Linked DNA regions of Kluyveromyces lactis. The main gene of each other region encodes a partner of the protein of the gene in region 3 in a complex. Links are inferred from orthologs where the notes say so. Each region holds a gene or a part of one and is shown on either strand. Other genes may lie near its edges.

Evidence for each region. The genes of interacting proteins can lie anywhere in the genome.
Region 1: RPC40 (region 3) and RPA14 share a complex: the UniProt entries of both Saccharomyces cerevisiae proteins name them as parts of the RNA polymerase I (Pol I) complex. The link is inferred for Kluyveromyces lactis from reciprocal best matches to the Saccharomyces cerevisiae genes RPC40 and RPA14.
Region 2: RPC40 (region 3) and RPC34 share a complex: the UniProt entries of both Saccharomyces cerevisiae proteins name them as parts of the RNA polymerase III (Pol III) complex. The link is inferred for Kluyveromyces lactis from reciprocal best matches to the Saccharomyces cerevisiae genes RPC40 and RPC34.

What each region holds. Positions count from the first base shown.
Region 1 is NC_006040.1:1,414,720-1,417,127, forward strand, and holds RPA14 (DNA-directed RNA polymerase I subunit RPA14), read left to right. Parts: upstream 1-1,427; coding exon 1,428-1,907; downstream 1,908-2,408. Other genes in the region: peptidylprolyl isomerase CPR1, read right to left, coding at 466-954; HOM2 (aspartate-semialdehyde dehydrogenase), read left to right, coding at 2,376-2,408. UniProt on the Saccharomyces cerevisiae protein: DNA-dependent RNA polymerases catalyze the transcription of DNA into RNA using the four ribonucleoside triphosphates as substrates. Component of RNA polymerase I (Pol I) which synthesizes ribosomal RNA precursors.
Region 2 is NC_006040.1:383,853-386,877, reverse strand, and holds RPC34 (DNA-directed RNA polymerase III subunit C34), read left to right. Parts: upstream 1-1,432; coding exon 1,433-2,524; downstream 2,525-3,025. Other genes in the region: putative ATP-dependent permease ADP1, read left to right, coding at 1-1,145; NNR2 (NADHX dehydratase), read right to left, coding at 2,657-3,025. UniProt on the Saccharomyces cerevisiae protein: DNA-dependent RNA polymerase catalyzes the transcription of DNA into RNA using the four ribonucleoside triphosphates as substrates. Specific peripheric component of RNA polymerase III which synthesizes small RNAs, such as 5S rRNA and tRNAs.
Region 3 is NC_006040.1:1,252,515-1,255,290, reverse strand, and holds RPC40 (DNA-directed RNA polymerase core subunit RPC40), read left to right. Parts: upstream 1-1,263; coding exon 1,264-2,268; downstream 2,269-2,776. Other genes in the region: U4/U6-U5 snRNP complex subunit PRP31, read right to left, coding at 1-910; GLD1 (Gld1p), read right to left, coding at 2,767-2,776. UniProt on the Saccharomyces cerevisiae protein: DNA-dependent RNA polymerases catalyze the transcription of DNA into RNA using the four ribonucleoside triphosphates as substrates.

The sequences.
Region 1 (2,408 bases), about 160 kb from region 3:
ATATAGCCTGTCCAGCGTGATCAATAGCGTACCACTGCAGATACAACGGGTTACCGCACTGAAATGACGAACGTATCCTCACTGATCATTAATCATGATCATTATTTTATGTTGAAAAGTCTTGTAAAGGTTGCGCTGATTGCAGAGGGCAGCTAAATTGGGAAATTTCAGGTGAGAAAAGGGAACAGGCCCGGGTAACCATTTTCATTGGGTAGCTACATTTGTTAATGGCCAAAGAGGAGAGATGATGATCTAGTCATAAACTTCCATTGATATAAAAGGGTGTTGTATATATGTATTTGAGTGTCTTCCATTACCAATTGAGTGAGATCAAATACACTCAATTAGTCAATGGGTTGTTATAGACATAAGTATATATATAGATATCCCGAGCGATTGAAGTGTGATAAAGGGAAGAAAAAAGGATTAAAATGAAAAAAAGAGTCAATTCCCTAGCTTATTTCCTTACAATTCACCAGACTTAGCGATAACAATTCTGGCCTTGGTAGCACCGGAACCGGAACCCAGGGATTCGACCTTCTTGACGACATCGAAACCATCAGCGACTTCACCGAACACGACGTGCTTACCATCCAACCATGGGCATGGAACAGTGGTGATGAAGAATTGAGAGCCGTTGGTGTTTGGACCAGCATTGGCCATGGACAACAAACCTGGCTTTTCGTGCTTCTTGACGAAGTTTTCGTCTGGGAACTTAGCACCGTAGATAGACTTACCACCGACACCAGTACCGTGAGTGAAGTCACCACCTTGCAACATGAAGTCTGGGATAACACGGTGGAAAACAGAGCCGGCGTAACCGAAACCCTTTTCACCAGTAGCTAGAGCTCTGAAGTTTTCAGTAGTCTTTGGAACAACATCGTTGTACAATTGGAAAACAATTCTACCCAATGGTTGACCGTCAGCTTCCACGTCGAAAAATACCTTAGACATTCTTAGTTTAGTTTAGTAGTTGATACTTGGTGTGTTGTAACCAAGATTTTGCAAACCAGAACAGAAGAGCAAGAACTGGACTTGAATTGGAATTGGATTGAAGTTGAATCAGAGTTCAATTGAGAAAGTGGTTGGTAGTTGCTAACAAAGGGTGGCGTTGGCTTCGCAAAATGGTATTAGGTGATGACATGCGGCCGGGTAACGAAAACGGAAACCCCATTATCTTACACATCAACCGCATTGTCGCCGCAAGTCACGTGACACACGTGACTTGCATATTTTGTTAACATCGCAAGGCACGGAGAAACATGCCTGAGTTACCCGTGCCTCAGCTGAAAAATTCTTCGAGAGACAAAACCTGAATCGAAATAATGCGATGAGATGAGATGAGATGAGATGAGATAGCCAAAGGTTGGGTAAATATATAGATGCTGATTTGATTCATCGCACTCCAACGAACAACCACGTATACCATGCTAAGGGGAACTAGAAGACCAGCAAACTCCACTTTGAACACGCCCGTTGTGGTACATACGGTGGGCACGCCAACATACCTATCTAAAGACGAAGTACTACAATTCCTAGCAAGTTTCATTGCCGAAAAGGAATCAGTACCAGGCGTGACACTAGCGTCAAGCGGAGCTTCTACAACCCAGGGAGCAGTAACTTCTGGTGGCATTAGTGCCGATGAAATGGCTCTAGATACACAGCTTTCCAGTGCTCTTGCGCAGCTGAAAAGAGTCGAAAGAGATTTCAAAGGTCTACCACCTCAAGTAATGGAGATGGAACCCTCCAGCACAAGTTCTACTGGTAATACAGAAGAAGATACGGTGGCTAAATCTGCTACTGGAGGGAAAAAGATCAAGTTTGCTGATGTGCCGGAATCTTCACAAACCTCCAGTGACAGCAAACAAACATCCTCATCCTCGGAATCGTCATCAGACTCTGAATAGACGGCTGATTTGCACTACCCACGAATCGGGAGGGTATTCATTCATTATATATATATATATATATATATATATACATACATACGCTAAGTTACATACAGTGACCGTTATAATCAATGCATAAGCTTGGAGCTCACCCTAATTGCAACATACCACGTGACTTCAAATACACAACTTTTTCTTTTCCAATGGGCTCACCTGCGGTTTCTTTCACACAGAGAGAGTGTGAGTCAGTTGGAATTTTTCGTCAAAGTGATATGACATCAGTTGAAAAGAATATCAACATTAACATCCGATTCCTTACTACCAGGTATATATTTGTACACACTTGTAGCATTCATCGTTGCTCTACTTTGCTTCTAATATACTTATCTCATTTTCTTGATCGTATTTATTCTAAAGCGATAAAGAGGATCTGAATCTTGCTTAGGAAGATTAAGAAAGAATCACTACTTATAATATACTATAACTATGGGTAAGAAAGTCGCTGGTGTCTTAGGAGCT
Region 2 (3,025 bases), about 870 kb from region 3:
TTGAGGCTACACTACCTACTACAGAGGGTCTTAACCCAGTTCACAGGGTTGAGCCGCATCGCCGTTCTTTGACTGGAAGCCCAACACAGACAGAGTGGGAACATCTGGCTCTTCACAGGGACGAATTTAGGGATTTGTTATCTCAGTCCGAAAACGAGGGCCAAACTGTGGGTGATGTCAACACGCACCTATTACATTCTCTTTTCAAAGATGGTGCATATTTCCAGAAACTGAAGTTTGAAATTAATGAAATTTTGTCTGCCGGTATAAACGAAGAATTAAGAATTCCACAAGCATACAAAGCGGCAACTTTCTTGCAGCAACTCTCAATTTTGAGTTCAAGAACGTTCAAAAATGTCTGCAGGAATCCAAAGCTATTGTTAGGTAACTACGTCTTGACGGTAGCTTTGGGTTTATTCCTGGGTATCCTATACTATAATGTTGAAAACGATATCAGTGGATTCCAAAACAGACTAGGCCTTTTCTTCTTTATTTTAACGTATTTCGGTTTCCTGACATTCACTGGGTTAAGCTCCTTCTCTTTGGAAAGATTGATTTTTATCAAGGAACGTTCCAATCATTACTATTCTCCGCTAGCGTATTACATTTCAAAAATACTATCTGATATTATTCCATTACGTGTGGTACCACCTATCCTACTTGGGTTAATACTTTATCCTTTGGTTGGTTTAAATATGAATGATAATGGGTTCTTCAAATTTGAAGGTATTCTAATCTTATTCAACCTTGCCATCTCACTGGAGATTTTGACAGTTGGTATCATTTTTGAAGACTTGAATAACTCGATTATAATCAGTGTTTTGATAATCCTTGGTTCTTTGTTATTCAGTGGATTATTCATCAACACTAAGGATATTAACAATATTCTGTTCAAATATTTGAAGAACCTTTCAGTGTTCTATTACGCCTACGAATCTTTGATTATCAATGAAGTCAAGTCTTTGGTTCTTAGAGAGAAGAAGTATGGTCTCAATATTGAAATCCCAGGTGCCACTATCCTAAGCACATTCGGTTTCATCGTACAAAACCTAGTGTTCGATGTCAAAATACTAGCGCTATTCAATGTCATATTCCTAATATTCGGCTATTTCGCTCTTAAGTTGATAGTTATTGAGCAAAAGTGATCAAAAAATCATGGAGCTTATAAAAAGAGTGACGAACAGCCACTCAAACACAAAATTAGAATCTATTTAATACTGAAAGTTCATATATATTCAAAAGAATACAACTCTTATTACCGTAAGCCTAGTACAGGGAAGTTCATTTATTGATAGAAGTACTTTCATGTATCGGATCTCTTTATGTTCTCCATTGACTATATTGTGTGTATAACTTCCATCTGTTTGCCGCTTTTCTTTTGGAATGGATTCAAAAAAAAAAAACTGATCAAAGCTCAAAATAATAGCACGCGATGAGAAGAGGAATGGTTCAACTTATCGAACTAATAATTGATGAAAGAGTCAGACGCCTGACAAATTTACAAACTGATCTATTGAACCATTATTTAGGCCTACCTCTATTATTGTTAGGAACGCAAACGGTGTATTTTCCTTCGAAACCGATAATGAATTCGTTATTTAATTCAACAATAAAGCTCTCTGATCCAGCCAGAGAGCTGCATGAGAAGATGTGTTCTCAAGAAACTGGTAAATTGTTCTCTCAAAAAGAGTTAACTTCCATGTTAGACAACTGCTCGTTAAGTGATTTAATGCAATATGTTCAGGAACTTTTGGATAAGAATCTATTGAAGTTAGTGAAACAGAATAAAGAACTTAAGTTCCAAGCAGTAGATGCAGCTGAAGCAGAAAAGAAAAGCGGGATGAGCTCAGATGAGGCTCTTGTCTACTCATACATCGAAGCTAGTGGAAGAGAGGGTATATGGACGAAAACGATCAAGGCGAAGACAAATTTACACCAACATGTGGTTCTGAAATGTTTAAAATCACTTGAATCACAGAGGTACGTAAAGAGTGTAAAGAGTGTCAAATACCCAACCAGAAAGATATACATGCTTTACAATTTGCAACCATCCATTGACGTAACAGGTGGTCCGTGGTTCACAGATAGTGAATTGGACGTTGAGTTTATAAACAGTCTTCTGACCATCGTTTGGAGATTCACAGCGGAAAGAACATATCCAAATGGTTTTAACAACTTTTCCGACGAAAACGGTAGAGACGCACTCTATTCCAGTAACGTCAAAAGTTACACCACGATCGAAGAGATCCTTGAATTTATTTCTGAATCAGGAATATCTACAGAACAACTAACGAAACCAGATATTAGATCACTGTGCGAAGTTCTTGTATATGACGATAAGTTGGAGAAAGTATCTTTTGATTGCTTCAGAGTAACGTTGCAAAGTGTCTTACAGATGACTCAACCTGTTGGGGGACAACAAAGTTCGAAAAGAGAAGAATATTCTATATTCAGTCACGGAAATTCCATGGCAGCTTCCAGTTCAGATAAAGATGTCCTATACTTTGACGAATGGACGCTGTGAAGTTTAGATGCAAAGGTAATTTAGTCATAAAAAGAGTGTTCGTAATTGATGTATGTATATATGCCAAGAACTAATTACAAACTAATAATAAAAGCGTTCAACTTATGAGTCTGTTTTTTCTTTCTCAGTGGTTCACTGTGAAGGAGGGTATAACTCATTGAACACTTCTCCCACCATGTTGTTCATGTCAGTAGTTTGCAATTGTCTGCCTACCTTATCATAAGCAGCCCTGCTAGCCATTCTTGTTGCAGTAGATCCGATGAAACAAGATAGCATAGCCATTTTGGACCAAGGAAGATTTTCTCCGTTACCTTCTTCTACTATTGTTTCCAATTTGAAATCATGCACTGCACGAGAGAAACCAAACATGGTTGCGATTATACCGGTCAGTGTGTCACCCTGACCACCACATCTTTTCATAGATCCCTGAACGTCGTTTTCCCAACGTTCACCTTGAGAATTAACGATAATGTCATTTTGTCCCTTTGCAACAGTGATACA
Region 3 (2,776 bases):
CTTGATTCCCCATGGTGCAATCCGCTCTCGCAGCAAGAGCAACCTTGGCAGAGACCATTCTAAGCGCCTGTTTCTGGAACTCAGGAGGCTGTGTTTGTACCACGTCTGTATAGAATAGATATCCCTTTTGTCGTACCCCAGAGATATCTAACGATTTGCCATGCAACGTTTTGTCCTGGCCAATGGATGCCAAATTACAACTGGGAACCACACTTAGTTCTTTAACACTACCACAATGTGTTACCAGTTTAGCTGCAGTATCAGGTCCCAATAAAGCACATAAGTTTGGAGCTACCATTTGTATTCTTGTCTCAACATAGTGTGAGACGTTGTCCCGTAAGTTGTACAGAATATCGAACCAATGGATGGCCTTGGAGAGGAGATCCTTATCAATTCGAGCACCCTCTTTGAAATCTGTCTTTAGAGACATAGATACCACAAGGGTTTCCTCCTTCGATAGCACTTGGTCTAATTGCACGTTGGGAATATCCTGTTGCAGCATCTTGACCACGTCGACGTATTGTTTCCTTTCAGGGACAATAGTTTCCAACCCAGGGAACTTGGCCTTGTAGGTATCTACAATGCATTGAAACACCATGGAAAGCTCTGTATCGAATAAAGGCATCAATTGGCCCAGTTTTATGACATTGTAAGGCTCTGTCGTATGGTTTGTTGCATCTCGTATTATAGTTTCGTGCTTGGCAAGTTGGATGAGGTCATCTAAATCCGCGCCTTGGTGCCAGAATTGCGCGTGAAAGTCAGATATTAGGTTGCTAACACTAGGAGAGGGTAAAATATCCGATTCTGTGGCTATACCACTGGTTATACCACTGGTTACACCACTTAACCCATCATCCAAGCTTTCCTCATCGCTGACACTTCCATAATCTTCGTCATCTAAAAGGTCCATTATCACCTTGTGAAAGAGTAAGACAGGGGAATATGGTTATCCAGTTACAATCCAACTGTAAAATACCACATACTGAACTAACTGAGGATGGTCAAAAGAGCAGTAATCGACTAGTACCTGCTCTCGAGTAGCTATCTCATCGCATTTCTACCAATCTTTAATCATATATAATCACTCTATACGATGTGATCTTTTCTTTTCCAAAAATTTTTCAGTTCTTTAAAGCGATGAGATGAGCTTGAGATGAGGTATCTACACCGATGAGACGGACCTTGACCAGTGTCATAGGGCTTTTCTGAGGTCGTTTGAGAGCTCAAGAGGTAGCATAAACGTAGCAATACAATTGAAAAAGGATGTCCAATATCGTTGGTGTTGAATATAACCGTGTGACGAACACAAGTTCAACAGATTTCCCTGGATTTAGTTCGGATCAAGACAATTCATGGGACTTGGAGAAGTTCAAGGAAACTTTTGACGTACAAATCGAGAGTTTGGATGAGCGTGAAGTGAATTTCGATTTGGTTCATGTCGACACATCGATTGCTAACGCTTTCCGTCGTATTATGATCTCAGAAGTACCATCTGTCGCTCCAGAATACGTCTACTTTTTTAACAATACGTCTGTGCTACAGGACGAAGTGTTGGCGCATAGAATCGGGTTAGTGCCATTGAAGGTGGATCCAGATATGTTGAGTTGGGTGGACACGTCATTGCCCGAATCTGAAAGGTTTACAGATGAAAATACGATAGTGATGTCGTTGAACGTGAAATGTACCAGGAACCCAGATGCTCCAAAGGATTGTGAAGACCCCAAGGTTCTTTATAGAAACGCGCATATCTATGCTAGGGACCTTAAGTTTGAGCCTCAGGGGAAACAGGTGGAACAATTTGCCAAGTGTCCCGTGGTGGCAGCGGATCCAGATATCTTGTTGGCCAAGTTGAGACCAGGTCAAGAGATTTCGTTAAGGGCACATTGTATTCTAGGTATCGGTGCAGACCATGCCAAGTTCTCTCCGGTGTCGACAGCTAGTTATAGACTATTACCACACATCCAGATCACACAGCCTATCACCGGTGATGATGCCAAGAAATTTGTGAAATGTTTCCCTAAAGGTGTCGCAGATGTCAACGAGAAGGGTGAAGCTTATATCAAGGATCCAAGGAAGGATACCGTGTCCAGAGAGGTGTTGAGACACGATGAGTTCCAGGGGAAGGTTAAGTTGGGTAGGGTGAGAGACCACTTCATCTTTAACGTGGAGAGTTCTGGTGCTATGACACCGGAAGAAATCTTCTTCAAATCGGTCAGGATCTTGAAGAACAAGGCGGAATACTTGAAGAACTGTCCAATCTCACAATAAGAAGCCAATTCGCATGTTCTCTATTTAATATCATCCACTCCCTTCCATACACAGACAAACCGTGCATCATAATTCCATTTCTTTCATTCCCTGTATCATACGCATTAAGCCACTCAGTGAACAGATTAGGCACTTATATATATTCATATATAAAGAAGCCACTACATCTAAACTAGTTTAATGTACATTTGTTTTTAGATTCAACTGTGTTACACCATCGCATCTACATTTGTCGGTTCAAACGTCTCCTGATCCTGCGCCATTGGCCGTGCTTTGGTTATAAGATTTTCGATCATGGCTTTTGGATCCACTTCGAGTATCAAGACGTTACCATTATATCCGTCACTCAGATCACTCTGGGCTTTCTGTGTATAGGTTTCGTCCGCGACTTCGTGATCTTTGAATGGTGAGATGGATAGTACAGTTACGAGGAATAGCCCTACTTGAAAGAATAGAATTAGCAGTTGGTAGAAAAGGTACGATGCGTTACCCTTAAAATTACTCGAGG